Linked DNA regions of Schizosaccharomyces pombe. The gene in region 2 interacts genetically with the main gene of each other region. Each region holds a gene or a part of one and is shown on either strand. Other genes may lie near its edges.

Region 1 (4,779 bases), 560 kb from region 2:
AGAGCTTGAAAATGTCAGTCAGCAAAGGAATTCCACAATTTTTTTGATAAGTGACGTGAAAGAAACCTTTTGAGTTTGGTTTCAATGCTTCATGCTTCTCGAGAAAAGAGGCGGTCTTGGGTTTTTATAATTTTGTGTTTGAAGGTCCCATTTGATATTTGGAATGTTGCTGCAGTGAAACCTAACTGTTTACAAGTATTTTTATTTTTATTCATAAATGTCTCGTAAGCTAAGTCTCACCTTTTCTCTTATGCAAACAGGAGGTTATTTGATTATAGTTATCGAATAAATGGATGATTGATCCATGTATAAAATGATATTGTTAATGGTATTGATATCTTGTTTTAAAACATGTTTGTTACTTATAGAAGCACTATGTGTTGAAGCCAAGTCGATAAACTTTTAAAAATTAGGAAGTGTTCCATGAATAAAATATTTTAACATTAAAAAGAGCGAATGACTATTTACCCATAAAAACTGATGGATAAAATGCTACAAGACCAAACCAAGCATATTTTATTTATTTTGGAAATAAAACTAGGAAACTGTTTATACAATTAACAAATATAATTCTAATGCTCCTCTGTAGAAGAGGTTCTTTTAGCGTAGTAGCTAAATTTACTCTTTTGATGTTGTGAATAAGACAAGACGATATGATTTCGTTCTCTTTCACATACCAAAGTAAAAGGAGGTAAATTGAGTGTATTAAAACAGTTACGTTCTACACACATCACATTGATATTTTACCTAAATTTTGAAGAAAAACATTTTTTCTGGAATAAACGTTGGTTTAGAAGGTTGAAAAAATGAACACATCAGCTAGATTACTGGCGTTAGTCTCGAAATCAAAAAACAACTGGATTCTTCAACAAGGAGATACAAAACTATTTAAAAGCTTTCGTTTTAAAAACTTCATTGAAGCTTGGGGATTTATGAGCTGTGTCGCATTGCGTGCACAACAGCTAAATCATCATCCCGAATGGACTAATGTATACAATAAAGTGGATATTACGTTGACAACTCACGATACAAAGGGACTTACAGAAAAAGATTTAAAGCTGGCAGAATTTATTGATACACTTGCAAAGGATAACTGAAAGCTGCAACCAAGAGGGTAGTAGCGGAAAACTATCTTGAGACACAGATTGCCAGAAATTATTCTTAATATTTTGAATTAATTTAGTGTTTAGTGATGTGGTGTTTGAAAGGATAAGAATTTATATCATAAACTCATTAATCACCATTCAGCCAACTGGTCAAGTTGTTGAACATGTTTTGTCAGATGCTGCATAATAGCTTGCCTGTATTCTGGAATAGAACTTCTGCTGGAAGCAATTCTGGATATTGCAATTCTACTTGCCCTTTCATTTCTTTCTTGCTCGGCCTCTTCACCACCTATAACATCTCGATAATTCCAAAATTCAATGGCTTTTGAAGCTTCAGGGAGTAGAAGTGGTTTCTTGGCGAGAGGTTTTGGGTTGCCAGACATGGAGAGTCTTTGAAAGACGTTTCCAAAAGTTCGATAACTTTTGGACTGACCAGTACCAGCAAACGGATCCATATGACCTCGAAACGTTTTAATATACAAAAGTAAAAAAAACCCCCGTGAGTACTAAGAGACAATGACTTCAATCATTGATTTGTTCTTCTTTAAAAGAGAACCGTTTAAATATGAAAATTGTAATCTCTTTTGTATTTAAGCAGTAAGTGAAGAGGTTTGGACAAGTGATTAGGAAATTTCACCGATTTTCTTGTTTATTTACTATCTTGTGTGCGTAGTTGAACAAAACTCCTTGCCATCGTTAGAAAGCAATGCTTGTGGTATAAGAATGTGGAGTGTGTTATTAAAATAAAATAGTGAAGTCACCTTTTGTCTCCTAATATCTTAGTGAACTTTAACGTTGATGAACGATTCAATAACTGTAATGCTAAGAAGGATACATTGAGTTTCTCATATTTTTTTTTATTTGAAAAGAATTTTCATTATTATTATTTTTAATGATGCACCTAGTTATTGCAATCGCTATAGACTTTAAACTTTGTATTGAAAGAATTTGTCAAAATATTGGCAGTTGGTTATCAAAAAAAATAAATGTAAGGTATATGAAAATTAGGATGTTTTCATACTCACGAAAAATCATTTCTGGTAGATAAATCACTTAAATATATCACGATTACTTATTTTTAGTTATTTTACCTTTGAAATGTAAGACTGTATTACTTAAGTTTTTTCTTAGTATAATATGTGAACATACATATTGTCAGCGTACATCCTCATTCACCCTCAAACCTACAACGAAGTATTCTAACATGCTAAGGACTACTAGCCGGACATTTTCTAGGGCTTTGTCTTCTTCTAACTTTAAAATAAATTGTGGAAGAAGGCATTGGTTTAGTGTTTTGACGTTGCTTGAGCATCAGGGAGGGAACTTGTCTCCAGCATCCTTGTCAGCAGTAGAAGCAGCAAAGCGTACCGGTGGGGATGTTTTTGGATTTGTAATCGGTAAGGATTCTTCTCAAATTTCTCAAAAGGTAGCAAAATCGGTGAACGATTTGAAAAAGGTTATCTACGTTGAGAATCCGTCATATGAGCATAACATTCCCGATCAAATAGCCAATGTTCTTTTTGAAAATGTTAAGAAAAATGAAATTAGTCATGTTTTTTCTGCTCATTCAACTGTTGGTAAAGGGGTGATGCCTCGTTTGGCTGCTATGTTTGATGTGATGCAGATTAGTGACATTATTGGTGTGGTTTCTGCTGACACATTCGTTCGTCCGACATACGCGGGAAACGTAAACGTTACTGTGTCTACAAAGGATCCTATTAAAATCGTCACCGTTCGTGCATCTGCATTTGACGCCGCTCCTTCAAGTGGTGAAGGAGCAGCCACTGTTGTTGAAGGTATTGATCCAAAACCAGCTGCTCTACAAGAATGGGTTAGTGAGAATATTATAAAGAATGCTAGGCCTGATTTGTCTTCTGCCGAAAGAGTTGTTGCTGGTGGTCGACCTTTGAAAGACAAAGAGACATTTGAACGCATCCTTACACCTTTGGCTGACAAATTGGGTGCAGCAATTGGTGCTACACGTGTTGCCGTGGATTCTGGCTATGCTGATAATTCTTTACAAATAGGTCAAACTGGAAAAATCATCGCCCCAAAGCTTTATATTGCTGTTGGAATTGATGGTGCTATTCAGCATCTTGCCGGAATCAAAGATAGCAAAGTCATTGCTGCTATAAATCGCGATGAAAATGCTCCTATCTTTCAAACAGCAGATGTGGGAATTGTAGGTGACTTATTTGAAATCGTCCCGGAGCTTACTGAAAAACTTTGAAAATCATGTTGAGGAATGATTCCTTATTTTTCATAATATCACATTTATTTCAAATTTCACATCTTTTTAGAAGTTAATAAAATACACGTTTATTTAACTGGGTACTCGTAATAAATTAAGGAAATTTTTGATGTAATATTTAATTATATACCAGTGAAACAACTCTGAAGTCGTTTTATACATACATTTATGAAGCCACCTCAGCAAAGCTATCGTAGGTTGATTATCAAACATTTCAACGTATGAGAAAGAAAGGGATTTTTTTAGCGGTCTAGATATTTAACCAGAGATAAATGATAGAAACATGGAAAACATAGAATACGCATACACTCTCAGCAATACTTCAATGTCATCACAAAGCAAATCTATTAAAAGAAAATAAAATGCAAAGGCCGATTGATATTGCCAATAATTTTAAATTCTCTGACAAAAATAAGGGTGCGAAAAGAGAATATTTTCATAATATTTAAAACCCACGAGAAGCACCGCGGCCTCTGCCTCTAGTTCCACGGCCACGTCCACGTCCACGACCTCGTACTACCTCTTTCTTCTTTTGTTTTGGCTTTGTGCTATCATCAATTAAAAGGGTATCAAGTGGTAACGAGTCTGGGAGGATGTAGTAGCGTATGTTATTTCCACGAATTGACAGAGTTTCTACAGGCACTGGCTCTCTACCTTTGACAGTCATTTTAACAGCTTTTAAATGGGTATTCATTTGCATATCAACAGAAGTAATCGTTCCGTGAACAATTGTGCCTACGCGATTTGGTAAGTTTGGTTCATTTATTATACGAAAGTAAGGCTTTACGTACCATTTTTTAACTCAATAGAGACAGTTTCATTCGTCAGCTTCATTAAAAAGCTAAACTCGTTAGGAATATGTATAGATTTTTTATCATACTTACCGTACCAACTTCATGGTGTGTGCTTTGGTGTTCCTGGCAACTGCAAAAATCAAGTATTATGTTCGACTAAAACACATCAACAATAGATAAAATCATCAATTTTATGTTAAGATATAATGGATTCTGAAGTTTTACTAGTCCAAAATAGCTTTGTGATATTAATAGGCTGATCTTCATGTGCATTTATTTTTCCAGTATCTGAGAATAAAGTTGAGAAGCTAAGACTTCTTAATACAGATTCGACTGTTGAAAAAGCTTGATACTAATTTTAATAATTAAGTGAAAGCACTCATTAGTCTAAATAAATGGGTTTCGAACCCAATACTCGAATGAGCTTTAAGGCATCAAATTTTAGAGATAAAATTATTATGTATCGCATGTCATTTGTTTTAATCATTTATTTTATACAATTTAAGACATTTTATTCAAATACAAAATTCAAAGCTTTGGCTATTCAATATAAGAAGATTACCAAGTGAATTTTCACGAATTGAATTATTTTTTATTGTCCCGTAAAGCTCGCGCTAAAGCTGAACAG
Region 2 (5,694 bases):
GTCTTTAGGAGGCCACACCCTGTCCTCTAATGCTTTCAAAAATAATTCATCTAGTATATCGCCATCCTCATCTGCGAAGGATCCTCGAGAACAGCGGAAAAGAACATTTCCTCTCAACGATACACATTCTTCCCGAGCAAGACAGCATGAAAGACCTTTTCGTTCTCGAAAATCTAGAAGGAGAAAGGGTAAAAAGGCATTCAGTCCTAGACCTGGCTCACCTCCATCACCTTCCTTTTACCGCTCAGGTAGTCAAAAACGAGCACGTAATTTAACTACCAAGGATTACTTTGCCAAACGCTCTGAAAGCTCTTCTAGCGCCTCCGTCTCACCTATATCACCGTCCGCAAACAGAAATGATTCAAAAAGGCAAGCTTCTTCTTTTCGAAGGTCTCCGCCTAGTTCTGTACATATGAAGCCTTCAGCTTTTAACGGTCGAAAGGTATCGCGGAGACCTTCATCTTCTCCTCCCCCTATTCCTTCTATCCCTCATGAAACTACTTCCTCCGATACACAAAAAAAATCTAGCGTGTCTTCTGGCTTTCCAGAGAACAAACATGGAAAATTTCACTTTCATATACCTAATGAACGCCGATCTCGATTCGATCAACCTCCTTCGAAACGTATGGCACTCACGTCCACGGCCCGTGAGTCTGTTCCAGCTCCTCTTCCTTCTCCTCCTTCCGGCCCAATTTATACATATACATATCCAAAGCCTGCCTATGAGAAAATCGACCAAATTGGAGAAGGAACTTATGGTAAAGTATACAAAGCCATTAACACAGTCACAGGAGATTTGGTAGCTTTAAAACGGATAAGGCTGGAGCAGGAAAAGGATGGTGTAAGTATAAAAATCAAGCTCGTAACTAAATTGACTAACTTTCTAGTTCCCTATAACTACTGTCCGTGAAGTCAAAATCTTGCAGCGTTTGCGTCACAAAAATATTGTTCGGCTATTAGAAATTATGGTGGAAAAAAGTACGATTAAATACTGTCCTCATTCACCGTTTAATTATAACTAGTTCTAACATTTTAAAATTCTAGGTTCTGTATATATGGTATTTGAGTACATGGATCACGATTTAACTGGAGTCTTACTAAATTCACAATTACATTTTACTCCCGGTAACATAAAACACCTTTCGAAGCAAATTTTTGAAGCATTAGCTTATCTTCATCATCGTGGGGTGCTTCATCGTGACATTAAAGGTTCTAATATATTACTGAATAACAATGGTGATCTAAAATTCGCAGATTTTGGTCTGGCGAGATTTAATACATCTTCGAAGTCGGCTAACTACACTAATCGCGTTATTACCCTTTGGTTTCGACCTCCAGAGCTATTACTTGGAGAAACTGCATATGACACAGCCGTGGACATATGGAGTGCTGGCTGTATTGTTATGGAGTTGTTTACAGGAAAACCTTTTTTTCAAGGGCGAGACGAAATCAGTCAGTTAGAGGTTATCTATGATATGATGGGTACCCCTGATGTTCATTCTTGGCCTGAGGTGAAAAATCTTCCTTGGTATGAGCTTCTGAAGCCAGTAGAGGAAAAGAAGTCGCGTTTTGTTGAAACTTTTAAGGAGATTTTAAGTCCTGCCGCCATTGACCTATGCCAAAAACTCCTTGCCCTAAATCCCTTTTGTAGACCGTCAGCTCATGAGACCTTGATGCATGAGTATTTCACTTCTGAGAGCCCACCTCCAGAGCCAGCAGTCATGTAAGTATAAAATTTATCGTTGAATGATATTTATCTAACTTATGTGTTTAGTTTGAAAAACATGCAAGGAAGTTGGCATGAATGGGAAAGTAAAAAACGAAAATCTAAAAGATAAATGAGCCAGAAAATTTTGTCAAGGCGAAGCTATGCAAGCTGGACAAATGTTTAAAAAAAATAATCTTTATATTTCATTTAATTTCTTTGTCTCGCTTTACTGCGGTCTATCTTCTATATATTTTGTTAACACTAGGCAGAGTAACAAATTTGTCTGATGCTGGACAACTTTTTTTCATTTTTTGCTCTCTTTTTCTTCCGAAAAAGATGAAATAAGAACACTAATAGCTCATGATAATTAAATGTTCCACTGGTTTATTTGACTATTATAACTCTTTCACCTTTTAAGAACTTAGAAATCAAAGGCTTGAAGTCTTGAAATGAGCTTGGTACTGTGTACAAAAAAGATAAATTCAAAGGACTCGTATGAATTTATGATGTGGTTTTCTTTTAATCAGTCAACCGTAGTAATAATAATTTGTTTACATATACTTTTTAATAATGTTAAGGTGCAGATGTTCTCAAGAGCCTGCTCAAATATTTAGTAATGATGATTTAACAATTAAGAGAGCAAAAATTAAGTTACTATTTGAATGCGTAGCTTAAAATTGATCAAAGTATATCTACGGCTTTTACAATAGTGTGATGGCACGGATATCACATTCCGCATTGCACTGGACCACACTATAAGTCAACACTGAACTGATCGAGGAATAGGTAAGCATTCCCCTTCTCCTTTTGATCAAGAACCATCATTATAACAAAAAAAACAAACACAAAAAAAGTCGATGTCATTGTCGGAGTATCTTCGTGAATTCGCTGAGATTTTTGAGGAAGCTGCACAAGAATTAACCTCAATATTCGAACTACCTCCTGACCTGTTGAAAGATATTACTGAAGAGGATGTTGGGACTGATGACTCTTGTAATAAGAAATTCCTTGAAGTTCAAAAGCAAAAAGAAGATGAAGAAGATGAAGAAATATTGAAAGGAGTGGATTTAACGCAGCAAGATTCCGTACGTGAAAAAATCCACGAAATACAATCGATGTCGCAATTGAGTGAGAAGAGAAAGGCCTTACTTATGCAGGTAAGTACATGAAATTAATCATAAAAGTGAGATTTAAATGAAAATAAGATTACTAAACTGGCTTTGTAGAAAATGCTGATGTCTGGTTATTTAAAATATCGACGAACTCACAAGAAAGAATCTGATGAGAACCAATTGAGCTCATCTGATCTTGAAAAGACTTATTATGACAAAGAGCAAGAAATTTTAGGGTGTTCTCATTACATGCGCAATTGCAAGGTTCAGTGTTTCGATTGTCACGAGTGGTATACGTGCCGTCACTGTCACAACGATGCTTGTGATCATGTTTTAGAACGACCTGCCGTAGAAAACATGCTTTGCATGATATGTTCCAAGGTTCAACCAGCAGCTCAATATTGCAAATACTGTAAGAACTGTATGGGCCGATATTACTGCAATAAGGTATGTGATATTTTATTTGATACTTGTTCAATATCACTAATACATGACTTAACAGTGCAAACTTTGGGATGACGATCCGAATAAAAGTAGCTATCATTGTGATGATTGTGGTATTTGTCGAATAGGACGCGGTCTTGGCGATGATTATTTCCACTGCAAGGTAACTTTCGTGTACTTTTAGCACATGCTTTGCTTTTTAAACTCATATTCTAACAGCTGTAGACTTGTGGCCTTTGTTTACCTATTTCGGTTTTCAATACTCATCGTTGCATCGAAAGAAGTACGGATTGTAATTGCCCAATTTGTGGTGAATACATGTTTAACTCTCGCGAACGCGTAATCTTTTTAAGTTGCTCTCATCCGTTGCACCAGCGATGTCATGAAGAATATATAAGAACCAATTATCGTTGTCCTACTTGTTACAAAACGATCATTAATGTCAATTCATTGTTTCGAATTTTAGATATGGAAATTGAACGACAACCCATGCCTTATCCCTATAACACTTGGATTTCTACCATCCGTTGCAATGACTGTAACTCACGTTGTGATACGAAATACCATTTCTTGGGTCATAAATGTAATTCATGTCATTCTTACAATACTTGTATTTCATCAATTTACAAACCTTTGGATCACCCACAGGTGTCTATCCCTCGACTGGCAACCGCTGAGGATGCCGGTATGCGACGGCTAATGGGACATTCTTGGGACAACAGCGATGAAGACTTTAATATTTTCGGGATTCACAGTTTTATATAGATTTTCTAACTTTATGAACTTCCTAAACTGTTACGATTATCCTATATGTACTATTATTTTGGAAAAGTTGCTATTTTCATTCAATTCTTTGCAAGAATTACGAATTTTTAACGTTTACCCCAATTGTCTGATTATATTTATTCCCTTTTCTCGTCCTTTTGCATCTACTTCTTATATGGTTTTTTTTCTCAACAAGTCAAGCGATGGTATGAAGTAAATCGCTTAAATTTCCTCGATGAAGAGAATTTCTGTTTTAATTAATCTAAACTCATCTACTTTTGTGTGAAGCTATGGTGTCTTGAAACATTCGCAAACATAAGGACTTTGCTTCATGCAATTCTGGGCCTCTCTCAATATTTCAATTTCCTGTTATTATGACTTATATGTTATTTGTCTTGATTTTTTTTACGGCTGGCATTCATTAAATAAAGAGTTTATTGTCATTCCATATTCATCTAATCCTTCAGATTCCTTTTAAACTGACTTTTTGTCTAGAAGATGCGATCATTCGTCAAGTTACTGCAACTATTCTTGTTACTTTTCTATCTGTCGTTGTGATTCTTTAGCAGCATCCAACTACAAAATTTTTTTACCACACTTGCAGTTGTCTCTTAAGAGCAGGTTTAGTAACGTGGATGGGTTGTTAGTCGGAGTTACTAGTCAGATGAAGCGATAATACTAATTTTCTACTATATCAATTTAATTTGGCATGAATAAAATTTCAATACATTGTTACTATGTAAGGTGGTTAACTCAATTACCGCGTGGAAACGATAGTGTCAAATGCAGCCATATGTTTCAAGCCAGTAGTAAATGGCATCTACTGTTGCGGATGTTTAGTAATTTAAAATTAGGGAAATCTATATGAATATTGCAGTATGTGAAAACTGTGGTAGCTTTCTCATTAAGCGCAAGTTAACGGCGATCTCTTTTTATCCAGCCATTTGAAATGAATAATTTGCCTTAGTAAAATTTCACCTGGTTCGTAACTTTAAGGTTCTTTGCTAGAGCATTGATAGGTAACATATTGGTAAGGTGAAAAAAAGCCTCGAAACTAACTCGGAAAGAATCCCCACATTGAAAAGTGCATCACCCTTACCTATAGGCAAAGCCAAGCAGGACCGCGACATTTTCTCTTTACCGCTTACTCTTCACCGTGCTTTTAAGGGAATTCATCAAGATACATTGAAATTGGACGAGATCTTATTATTTTTCTAGAAAAAAAATCCAACGTTCTTTTAAAAACTTCAAAAAACCTTCTTTCTGTAAGGGAATTCGCACGCAAGAGAAAATGTCATTCACGAACAATACTTCAAGTGTGGACACTTCCCTCAGCTCATCTGCTTCTAGCAGTATTCCGGCAAGCAGCTCTTCTGCTGCTGCTAGTACGAGTTTGAGTAGCTCAAGCGTGATTCCTTCTAGTTCGAGCTCTATGCTTTCATCGTCTAGTGCTACTGCAATTAGTTCTTCATCATCGTCTTCACCTCTTTCATCCTCATCTTTTACTTCTCCTGCTTCTTCTTCTTTTATCACATCTTTGGTCTCATCAAGCAGCCAACAAAGCTCTAGTAGCAGTGCTTCATTGACCTCTAGTAGCAGTGCTACACTGACTTCCAGTAGCAGTGCTTCCCCGACCTCCAGTAGTTCGAGTCACGCGCTTAGCAG
Region 3 (5,174 bases), on a different chromosome or scaffold from region 2:
ATTCATCTAAGGGCTTTTGAATGCTTTTAGCAAAAATTCCCAAGCGTTTGTCAAGCAATCGACTCATATAAACAATTCCATCACATGCCAAACAATCAAAGACTAAATATCTCAGTTGCTTCTTACCACCTGGATAGATATCTAAAACCAACTCACCGTCCAAAAGTGTATCAACATGATATTTTTTTCCAGATTTGTCATTTTCAACTGGATAAAAAATTTTCTCAACATGATAAAAATTCATTTTACGATCAAATAAATATACACTGGGTCGATTTTCGTACCGAGGATGCTCGGTCATATAAAGTAAACAACGAATTCCATCACTTTTTTCACATACGAAATAGTTCTTTTCTTTTAATGCTTGTAAATGTTTCTTTGAAAAAGAAACTGGCTGTGATCCAGGAAATGTATCAGGACTTGTTCCTAATAATTTGGCAATTCGTGTCTTTAAAACCCTCACATCGTCGCGCGGTGCTAAAACTCCAGGGACTGATACCTCTTCAATGTCTTTCTCTGAGGGTGCCATTCCTTTTAATAATACACTCGTTTCTTTGCTAAGAGAGGGCTTAAGCACTTTCTGAAGGAGTAGAAACGGGATATAGTCTTAATGTACTAAATAAAGACACATGGTTTGTATAAAAATTCCTTATGCAGTATAGTGATCTTTTGCTGCAAAACGCAAAAATGCATATAATTATAGCTGCTCTACGAATACTGTTATCTTTTCTACCATTTACTTCAGAAAGTGTTATTCTATTACTTAATTTTTTTTTTATTCCAAAGCAAACAATATATGTAACTGTGGTGTCGTACTGAAGATAAAATGACATGTCTGTGAACGAGGTACAGATTATATGGCAGTGATTACAGATTTGGCTCATCTAGGTCAAGTTCGTAAAGCAATCGTAACCTATTAAAAAAATACATATAGGGAAGATATATCATTACAGTAATTATTAATCTGGAAATGAAACGTGCGTAAAGGATCTTCGAAACATAAACACTTTTAATGAAGAAACATGAATGAAAAACCCAAGCAATTGAATGAAACGAGTTTGGAGTGAGATTGCAAATCCCATGAACACAGTGACGCGAAGAAAATAATAGTATTGTGAAAAAAGAAAAATAAAATATGCCAGAGTTAAAGTACAATTACTATAGACAAGCAGTAGAGCAGCACTGGCCGTCTTTTAAGCATCTCCTATTGCAAGATTCTATCCAGGCTCTCAGAAATGCATATACAGTATAATAAAAAAATGTTACGAAACTTGATTCAATGGGGTGTCATTTGCTCAATGTTTCTGAAAGGACATAATTCCTTGAGCCTCTGAAGAAAGATATTGTCGAATTCCTTCGCAATTGCAATCTTGATGAGCTAATAGTTGATTCTTCAAACAAATTACTTCTTCACGTAGTTGGCTGACTAAAATCCTTAGAGCTTTCGACTGCTCACATGCGATATGTGCTGTTTTTTCGAGATTCTGTGTCCAAAGCTTTTTCTTTTGGCGGCATTTCGATGCGGCTATTCGATTTCTCTCTAAAAACCGCCTCCTCTTCATATCAGGAGTTTCATTGTTACTAGCGGTATGAACATTGTTACTGCCAGGTGTACCCCGTCGTTGACTGGAGGCGACGGTTTTATTGGAACAGGACTCATCGCTGCTGTTGTAGTCTCCATTTGGAGATTGAGACTGCTTCTTGTTGGAGTTTAAGTATCCTTCTCTACGTAAGGATTCAAGATTATAGAAAATCTCATCGTTATTCGCAGTAGCGGAATTCTTATATAGGTCCAAACCTTTTTCTTGTTCCGCTCCTGTTAGATTAACATTGTTTTGCATAAGATTTGACTGCACTACGTATGGGGCGTTGGTTCCATTTTGGAATTGTGGATGAAGCACTTGATGAGATCCATTATTATAATGATTCAAAGTACTACCTTCAGAGTATAATGAAGGTGCAACAATTGTTGAGCGTACAGGAGGAGTATTTGTAGGCTGGCCTTTGTCATTATTGTTAGAAATCTCCGAAAGGTTTACCGTTTGAGGTAATGATACCTCTGAAGTACGCTCGGGTCCTTTGAGGTAATGTCCAATGCTAGCATCACCTACTATTGAAGCGTAGTTATTATGTGAATTCGAGGGAAAGGATGTTTGATCTTTAGGTCCCTGGACTGGACCTCTACATTCATATACTCCGATATCGCTAGATTCAGCGCGTTTTTCTCCAACTTCATGGTTACCACCATCGCGGAATGTATTGAAGTTAAAATGAAAATCATGGTGAGTGCCATTACTGACGCTAGCACCATATCCTTCATTACCTAGTGTATCTAACCCGAGATACACATTTGCGAAATCCATGATGGAAGATTGATGATGAGCAAGTTAATTTTCTATTGAGTGCGGTTGAAATGGTTTCGACGGTAAAGCCGATGAAGATAGTTGATACAAGAACGGACTAAATAAAAAGCGAAAGTTTCTTTTTTGTTAGTAGTGCGAATATGTAGTGATTTCTTGAAGAAGGTTAAATCTTAAAAAGAGGCTATGTTATTCAGGTGCTGGCGAAACAAATTGGGAAGGGAAGATGAAGCAAATTGTGGTCGATCAAGTGACGCAAATTTGGATTGATGAATAAGGATGCAATATCTTTGTATAAAATTTCTGAATAGTGATCCCTGTGAACTTCTTCAAAAAAGTAAATAAAAGAAAATGAAGAATGTATAAACCGACAAGTTGGTGATTTGAAACTTAGGAGCTATCAATGGAAAAGTTTCTTTCAATTATATAAATGTGTTCTCTCTTTATTTTTCCTCTGTTTTAAGCATGCAGTAGTGTCCCGGTTTTAGGAAATGAACGAACGATAAAGGAAGGGATGACAATTCGTCGTTCTACAGAAGGATGGAATGGATTAATGGCAAAAGTGAGGATTCCTGGGAAAATAAGTATATATATATAAGGTGGACAGAGAAAGAAGGTAAAGGATAATGAAGGTGGTGAAGGAAGCAATGTCTTACTGCGTCCCTGGCAAGTAAAGAGGCTTATAAACAATAGAGAACTATGTACTAAGGTGGTTTAAGATACCAATTCCTTAATTTTGGACTTGGATTACTATAAGAATACGTTTCTGCTGAGAAATATGATGCTGCAGTCGGTAACTTTTTGGTTTGTGTCGCAATGTTTATATATGTTGATCGGGTGAGATGAATTTTGACGTCACTGCAAAACAAACAAACGAAGGGCTAGGGTAGCCAATCGGGAAATGATTTGTTTACTTTATGAGATGAACTTGCCGTATAGAAATAAAAAGTTTTTCTTTATAAAAATTTATTTTTTTTTTGTTTGAAGGGATTTGTTGCAATTAACAAAGGCACTATGCTAAAAAAGTCAAGCAGTATTATCCTTTAAGGCCTCCATTTTAAGGAGCTAACCGAAGGGGACTACATTCACGTGTCGCTCCACTGTGTAATATTTACATCACAGTCGTACCGTTAATTGGCCACCATATTCGGAAAGGAAAATCTAGAGTTCTATTTGATGCAGATTATGTCAAATATAATCAGGATTTACTTTTATTTAAACCAATCAAAAAATAGCCGATTACTTGTGGAGAGATAATAACGCTATCCCTCGGTATTCGTAGTCGTCAATAGTAAAGTTGTGAATGCGAAAATATAATATCGCCTCTCTTGCTAGCTTTTTTCATATTTATTTCCTTTAATGGTTTTGATGAAACTACCTAGGCTTCAAATTTTGTCGTTCTCTTACGCGCGCCACCATAAACGGCTTTATCGTTACTGATAATAATAGCTCATATCATTACTATTAGTAGCCTTTCCGCTATCAATCCTTTCTCAAAATTTAGCCGCAACTTGTTTCTAATACTTCTTCATCTTTCTTGCCCACATTTACTTATATTGTCGCAAGCAAGAGTAACATGTTATTGATTTAAATCTGGTTTGCCAGAATTCTCATTTTTAGTATGTATACTATCATATCTTTTAACTATACACGAGATGAAGTTTAACTTTTGGTCACATTAAATCAAAATAGACAGAACGGATCGTACATACGACCATGAGTTAGCCACTGGATTGAATCAGTTCTGCAAATCGAAAGATGTTGAACTTCGCAGTTGACAATATGAGAATACTTTAGCAACATCTGGAATATTTAATTAAGCTCTACGTCAATTTGGTAGAAATGTGACTATCTAAGATATAGTTGGCAATTTCCCGAATTCATAGGATATCACCTTTAAACCTTTTGACTTAATTTAATGATATTATTTTTCTTTATTTTAATTTACTGAGATGTAAATGCCGTGATTGTTGCATGTGTATACCTCAGATAATAATTGGACGTAGACACTATTGATTAACCCACGTAGCTATTTCACTTCTTTTGAATATTTTTCTCTTATTCATTCCTTCCGATTGCTGAATTTTCAATGCAGCCGTCAAATTAGGAACATATTACTTCATACGGACTCTGACTCATGATTCACTATGTGTCGTCGAGTCAATATATTTTCATTATAGTCATTGAAACTTACTGACTTTTGCAAATGACCGTTTCATATAACTTGTAGCTTTTGGTTAAACATGAACGCTATTGCTACAGTCTAGTTCCCATTAGAAGCAGCTTACGGGAGTAGAATTGTTGCTTAAACCTACCACTAAAACTTTGGTCATAACCTTGAAGGGACTCGGTATGATTGACCTTTTCCAATTAACATGTTTAACATCCACAGTTTCCATTTCTAATTTTATTTTGTATAACCGTAAATATCGAAAAAGCTGTGCATTAGCATTCCTTACACTGCGCTATACCCTCTTGTGTTATTCTATTCCTATACACATCCATACCGTTAATTACTTAGCTTTTACCATTGCAAGGATGAAACGCGTATGGCCTAGAATTCCTACGATTTCGAATGTCTGTAGGGCTCGCAGTATTTACAGTGCTGCTCAGGAAAATGCATATCGCTCTTCTGTAAAGTTAATACAGGAATACTCGGAGAAAGTTCACAAAAAGCTTCAGGCTAAATTATTAGAAAACCCAAGTGAAACTTCCCCAGAAATAGAACGGTTACAGGTTTTATCACAAATTAATTTACCGGAAGTACGCTCTAAATTTCATAAAAAGGAGATCGACTACACGAATCCGGTGTTC
Region 4 (5,595 bases), 1.0 Mb from region 2:
AATTATAATGGAGGAGGCATTTGACTCTTTTTCGATGTGAGATAACTCGGGATTCGAAGTGGTAGAGTTTTGAGAAGAGAAGGGTTTCACGGTCGGGAAAGAGGAAGCAATTGATGGAGAGATAGACGGCTTGGGAGGTAAGGTGTTTGTGTCCATGTTTTCAAATTCCAAGGCCAACAAAAAAGAAACAGTAAAGTGAGTTTTACGGAACAATAAATAGGAGAAATAGGAGAAACAGGAATGAAATAACTTTAGATTAAATAAATATTAACCAGACCAATAAAAAAAATATGAGCCACGTCTAAAAAATAAATCAAAACCGAACCGAATTAGATCCAAAAATAAATAATCAATGTAAAACAAAGTCTAGCGAACTTAGCATACACCACAGGCAAATTAACTAAGAATTGTCTCAAGCAGTAGAATTCATACAGACTACCAAAAGCACAATATTAATAAATAAGGGAAGATCTATAAAAAATCTCAATTGCACAAATCCTACGAGTAATGTTAAGCTAACTAACAATTAACTGGGAATGCTTCGACTTCCACTCCACAATGCAGTGTGAAAGCCTACTTCTTTTAAGTTATGGAGAGGAATGAAACTTTCTGCTTCACTTCAACTTATAAACGGAGTTTCGGCTCTGGATTAGTCATTCTTCAATCTAACGATTCATCATCATTTAGCTGAAATCGCAGTCATGATTAAGAGACAATTTACCCACGTCGTTCTACGCTAACATCCTGTTGGTTATTCAAATTGACGAGTGAATAAGCGCATTTTCGCTCCATTCCACAAAGTTGAAACAATGCAATTTTTCACATTTTCAATAAAACGTGGTAAGAAGACCCAATGAGCTAGTCACCCAAGTTCTCAGTCGGAGTCGTAAAATATGCAAAATTTTTTAGAATCCGGTCCTCGTAAAAAGCATCTTTATATTAACTTAAGAACTTGGATATGGGTACAGTGAGTAGTGAGTGAATCTTCAAAGATGCGATTGTGTATGGGAGCATATAAAATTGGTAGAGTTACAGTACAATGTAGTGATAGATAAATAACTAGAATAATGAGAAAGAAAAAAAATAAATAAATAAAGAGAGTAAAAGGGATTTAAATTGAAGGAAATGATATTTTTGAACCTGAAATAATGTGTTGTGTATATAGAAACTTAATAATAAAATGAATGCATTGAGGATACCACAAAGTAATTATTCCCAAAATAAAAGAAAAAGAATGATAAACAAACAACAAAAGAAAAAACTACGAAGAACGAGGATCGGTTGATTGTTTCAACTTGTAAAATTTCTCAAGACAAGAAACCCGGTCTCTCATAATCGACTTTTAAAATAATAGCGTGTTATCACAAAAAGCATCAACATTAAAATTTGTAGCAAAGAACAAACAATAGGAATATGGTTCTAAAAAAACGTAGATGAGACTTTTAATACGGAGGAAAGTGAAGAATATACGAACCCTAAGGATGGTCTTGTTCTTTGCTCCTTCGACATATCTATATTCGTTCTTGCATAAGGTCAAGCGTCAGCCTGTTGGGAAGAAGGAAGCGCGGGCTTAATATCGGTCATCTCTTGCTCGTCTTCCACCTCATGATCATGGTTGTTAAAACTAGCGTTGAATTGACCGAATCCAGTCTTATCCAGCAAAAATTCAATACCACACGCTATTATGGAGACACCGATCAATGCAATGCAGACATCATTACTTTTACGGAAGGTAGGATCACCAGGCCAGCCACTGTAAAGAGCATATGTCGTAACGACAGATCCCAAATTGCCCAAACCCGTCACGAGGGCCAAGCTGGAAGCCACGCCTACATCGCCATAGGTTTTGGCCATGGAGGCGGAGCACCAGGCCATACAAATGGGAACGGTTGGACCAAGACCAAATCCAATCATGAGTAAACCACCATAGCGTGACCAGGCACGAGGAGCGTAGTTAGCAACGGCAAGGCCGGCGATGATGATCAAACAGGATCCCGTGAAGAAGGAAAACTTCTTATGGAATCTGTCGTACAATGGCATAACAGTGACAATGCCCAAAGCGTCGGCAAGCCAAATAGGAGCATTCAACAACGAGATATCGATACCGGAAAAACTGGGGTTAATCTCTTCAATAATCAAAGTACAATAGTTGAAGATACCATTACCCACACCGACGATACCAAAGTACATGAGAATAAAAGGCCATACGCGGAGATCCAAGCAAGACTTTAGCAAATCAGACCATTGCCACCGCTTACCAACATTCATCTCTGCAATGTATCTAGAATGAAGGGATTTGTCGGCAGGCGTGAGGAAGCCAATTCTCTGAGGAGACAAAGTTTTCATCCATTTGGGTAAGGGAATAAACGAGCTAAGCGACTTTCTATGCTCCTTTGAAGCAACTGCCGGCAACCACCAGGGAATGGATAATGCTTGGGCAATAGCAACGACTCCCCAGATAAGGAACATCCACTGGTATCCATACAAGCCGCGAGCGCCATCCATCTTTTGGAAACCAGCTGAAACCAAACTGACGGCTGCTGCTGCAATTTGAGCAGCCGTATAATACCAACCAATACGTTTACCCAAGTGCTTGCCCCTATACCAACGGCTCATGTAGTAAGCCAAGCCGGGCCATAAGCCGGATTCAGCGACACCTAAGAAGAAACGTAAAGCGACATAACTTTGCGCATTACCATGTTTCGTTCCCAAAACTGCATGGCAAGCACCAACAACACCAATGGTGAGTTGGATACGAGACACCCAAATTCGGGGCTCGATAAATGCCATCATCAAGTTGGAGGGCACCTCAAAAATAATGTAGCCAACGTAAAACAACGCCAAACCCAAGGCGAGATAGTGAGCTGAGTAGCCAGAAAGTGTTTGAATAAGACTGTGGCCCTGAGCCGTATTCATGGTAAACGAAAGTGAGACAGTAAAACGAAGACAACAAGACAAAAAGTAAAGAATCCAAAGACATGGAATGATACGAAGGTCCATTTTCAATCTTAATTTCTGTAACCTTCGCAATTCGCTACTAGTAAATTCTTGCTCTTTTACCGTCGTTTCCGCACCATCGTTAAAAACATTGAGATCAGACGAATCGATTACTGTCGTCGAAAATTGATTCTTCAATGAGGGCTTTGAATCTGATACGCTTTCGACAATTTCAGGAATATTAAGTTTGGGATTCTCCTCAACTGAGGAGGCCCTCGATGTTTCAGGCCATTCTGAAGCCATTATTTTGAAATTTTCGGGAATGACAGATGGATATCGAGACAGTGATGGCTTTCCAATACTTTTCTAAATGTGGTGGATTTTAACCAACACAACCCCGTTCACTTCAGCACGAAGAATTGAAAATTAGAAAAACGGCGCATATATATACTAATGAAGGGCGTCAATATTGCTACCTGGCCAACTTACTTTAATTGCAATGAAGATTGCGACAAATATTAAAATACAAAAAAACCCGTCACTATTCTTTATGAAATTTCGCAACGGCCAGGTCTCGTCAAATCACGGTATCTTAGATTGTGAAAGTTAGCGAAATGAAGGATAAGAAATAAATATCGCTTAGATCGTGGGAAATATATGGAAGCAGAGGCGTCTAAACTTTTGAATAAACTTCGCTCAGAAATAGAAATAGATCGAATTCTATAGTAGTATTAAGATTTAATGAAGATGTTTTTAAAACGGGTAGTCGAAACGTTGAGCGATTGTTCATTCAAACGTACACCAGCAACAGGTATTCTATATACTAATATAAAGATTTTTGGATCTTTCAAATATTTTCTTTAAGAATAATTATAATATTATGAAGGTATATGATGTCGTTTTTCTCTCTAATATTATTTTTGTCGACAATATAGATCTCTTATTTTGTTTTAATTATGTAGAGCTGTTACATAAATCACTGATTATCATTCACTATAATTCTTTTCTCAAATACCTAGCCTTCAAATGTGCCTAATATTTTTCCTTTGCATTCTTCGGCATCATTGCAAACTAGTTCTCCAGCCGGTCGACTTTTTTTGATAGCCGCCCATATTAGTTTTCTTCCACGATCATATCTCTTCATGGAATACCGTGATACATCTACGTGTGTGTTTGAACAAGCCGCTAATCAAATGCTTCAAAGTATAATGTGTTGGTACGCTAGTGCGGATTGAAAATCTAGACAGATCCGGAAAGATCAATTCCATTAAACAATACCGCTCTATCTTTCATTAATTTCCAAAATAAAAGTATTTTTAACAACAATGAGGTAGTAAGATAGCATAAAAAAGAAATTTCTATTTAGGAATCAATTGCTTTAGCCATTCATCTTAACGATCTTCAATGTGGAACATACTCCAAAATTTAGAATTCGTTTACGATTCAAAGTTGTTACTCGTTATTGTTTTAGTTCATGTCGATGAAAATAGTAAGTATCCGAACGATTTAGCTTGTTGATCGTAATAAGATTAAATTTAGTAGGATATAATTTGAACGGCAATATCATTTCTTCATTACGAAAGTTACTACACGATTCAACATGTCATAGGTTCATAAATCACTTTACCCAACAAACTCATACTTCTCATTGAAATTATTTTCGTTCATTATTAATCTTTAGTGGATTCAGCAAGGGATAGCTGATGAATTGGAGATAAATGATATATCCAATTTGCTATTGGCGAAGATATCAATTCACCAAGTAGCGTTGGTTTTCTCGATAATAAGAGTACGAAGGTTAAGTATGAGAGCAGTGCTCTTTTTTCAGCAAATTCCCTGTTTAATTAATACATTTAAGCAAATTTTTTATCTTTTAAACCCGTTCATTTACAGTTTCATTTCTTAATTTTTGCCCCTTTTTTTTTCGTTTACTGCTTTTGCCAGTTCTGTTATTTCAATGTCATGCTTGTTTTGCATGTTCTTTTTTGCAAATCACCCCTACAATGAATTTTTGAATAGAGCAACGATGTTAGATCTGTTGCATCCATCCTGGCGTGAGAATGAGAAAATATTGCTCGTTTCGAATGTGCTTGCAAAAATAACAGAAATCGTAGGGAGCATCTCGGATGAATTCAAAAGATCACTAATGAAACCTTGTGGATTTTTTTTAGCGATCAGCGATTAGTAAACTTTGTGGGAATCGCCAGTTTCGTCAAAAACTACTAAATGTTAAAAGAGTGTATGGAAAAAAATTTCACTGTTGGAAAAACTAACGGGATTATGCTTAAAACGATGAGAAAAATGCAATACCCACACTTGACTTGTAAACTCATTCATTGCAATATACGTTTGCTTATTTGTTGGTGCCTGGAAAACAAAAGAGAAATTAATAACCTAAATTTAAAAAATAAAATAGAAAAAGGAACGTTACATAATACAGATGACTAGTTTTCTGTGTAAAAACAATAAAATAAAAAATAATGGTAATTAATAAATAATACAATTTTGGATATTGATCGTCATTCTAGTTACTATTTGGAATAGGAATAAAAATAAAAAAGAAAATTTTTATTTGAAGAAATAATCTAACTGTCAGTATCTAGCGATTTATAATTTATATCTAATCATGGTTTAGTACAGTTTTTTTCACATAGTAAT

Evidence for each region.
Region 1: mutations in SPOM_SPAC2F3.16 (region 2) and etf1 together harm fitness more than expected from each alone (negative genetic interaction), as found in Schizosaccharomyces pombe (one large-scale study listed by BioGRID).
Region 3: mutations in SPOM_SPAC2F3.16 (region 2) and atf21 together harm fitness more than expected from each alone (negative genetic interaction), as found in Schizosaccharomyces pombe (one large-scale study listed by BioGRID).
Region 4: mutations in SPOM_SPAC2F3.16 (region 2) and vht1 together harm fitness more than expected from each alone (negative genetic interaction), as found in Schizosaccharomyces pombe (one large-scale study listed by BioGRID).

Annotation. Positions count from the first base shown.
Region 1 is NC_003424.3:4,516,736-4,521,514, forward strand, and holds etf1 (electron transfer flavoprotein alpha subunit), read left to right. Parts: upstream 1-2,286; 5' UTR 2,287-2,310; coding exon 2,311-3,336; 3' UTR 3,337-3,395; downstream 3,396-4,779. Other genes in the region: omt2 (4-alpha-hydroxytetrahydrobiopterin dehydratase), read left to right, coding at 807-1,097; anaphase-promoting complex subunit Apc14, read right to left, coding at 1,238-1,561; Sm snRNP core protein Smd1, read right to left, coding at 3,803-4,092, 4,149-4,198, 4,242-4,255; methyltransferase Mtl16, read right to left, coding at 4,737-4,779.
Region 2 is NC_003424.3:3,954,578-3,960,271, forward strand, and holds SPOM_SPAC2F3.16 (ubiquitin-protein ligase E3), read left to right. Parts: upstream 1-2,521; 5' UTR 2,522-2,565; coding exon 2,566-2,865; intron 2,866-2,934; coding exon 2,935-3,267; exon of another isoform or gene 3,268-3,322; coding exon 3,323-3,427; exon of another isoform or gene 3,428-3,489; coding exon 3,490-4,029; 3' UTR 4,030-4,850; downstream 4,851-5,694. Other genes in the region: P-TEFb-associated cyclin-dependent protein kinase Lsk1, read left to right, coding at 1-841, 888-978, 1,045-1,723, 1,775-1,838; protein Mtl2, read left to right, coding at 5,321-5,694.
Region 3 is NC_003423.3:1,720,202-1,725,375, reverse strand, and holds atf21 (Atf-CREB family transcription factor Atf21), read right to left. Parts: upstream 2,364-5,174; coding exon 1,296-2,363; 3' UTR 926-1,295; downstream 1-925. Other genes in the region: mRNA guanylyltransferase Ceg1, read right to left, coding at 1-529; mrpl35 (mitochondrial ribosomal protein subunit L35), read left to right, coding at 4,899-5,174.
Region 4 is NC_003424.3:4,957,561-4,963,155, forward strand, and holds vht1 (plasma membrane vitamin H transmembrane transporter Vht1), read right to left. Parts: upstream 3,351-5,595; 5' UTR 3,241-3,350; coding exon 1,534-3,240; 3' UTR 1,138-1,533; downstream 1-1,137. Other genes in the region: SPOM_SPAC1B3.15C (vitamin H transporter), read right to left, coding at 1-156. UniProt on the Schizosaccharomyces pombe protein: Involved in uptake of biotin and desthiobiotin with the concomitant entry of protons.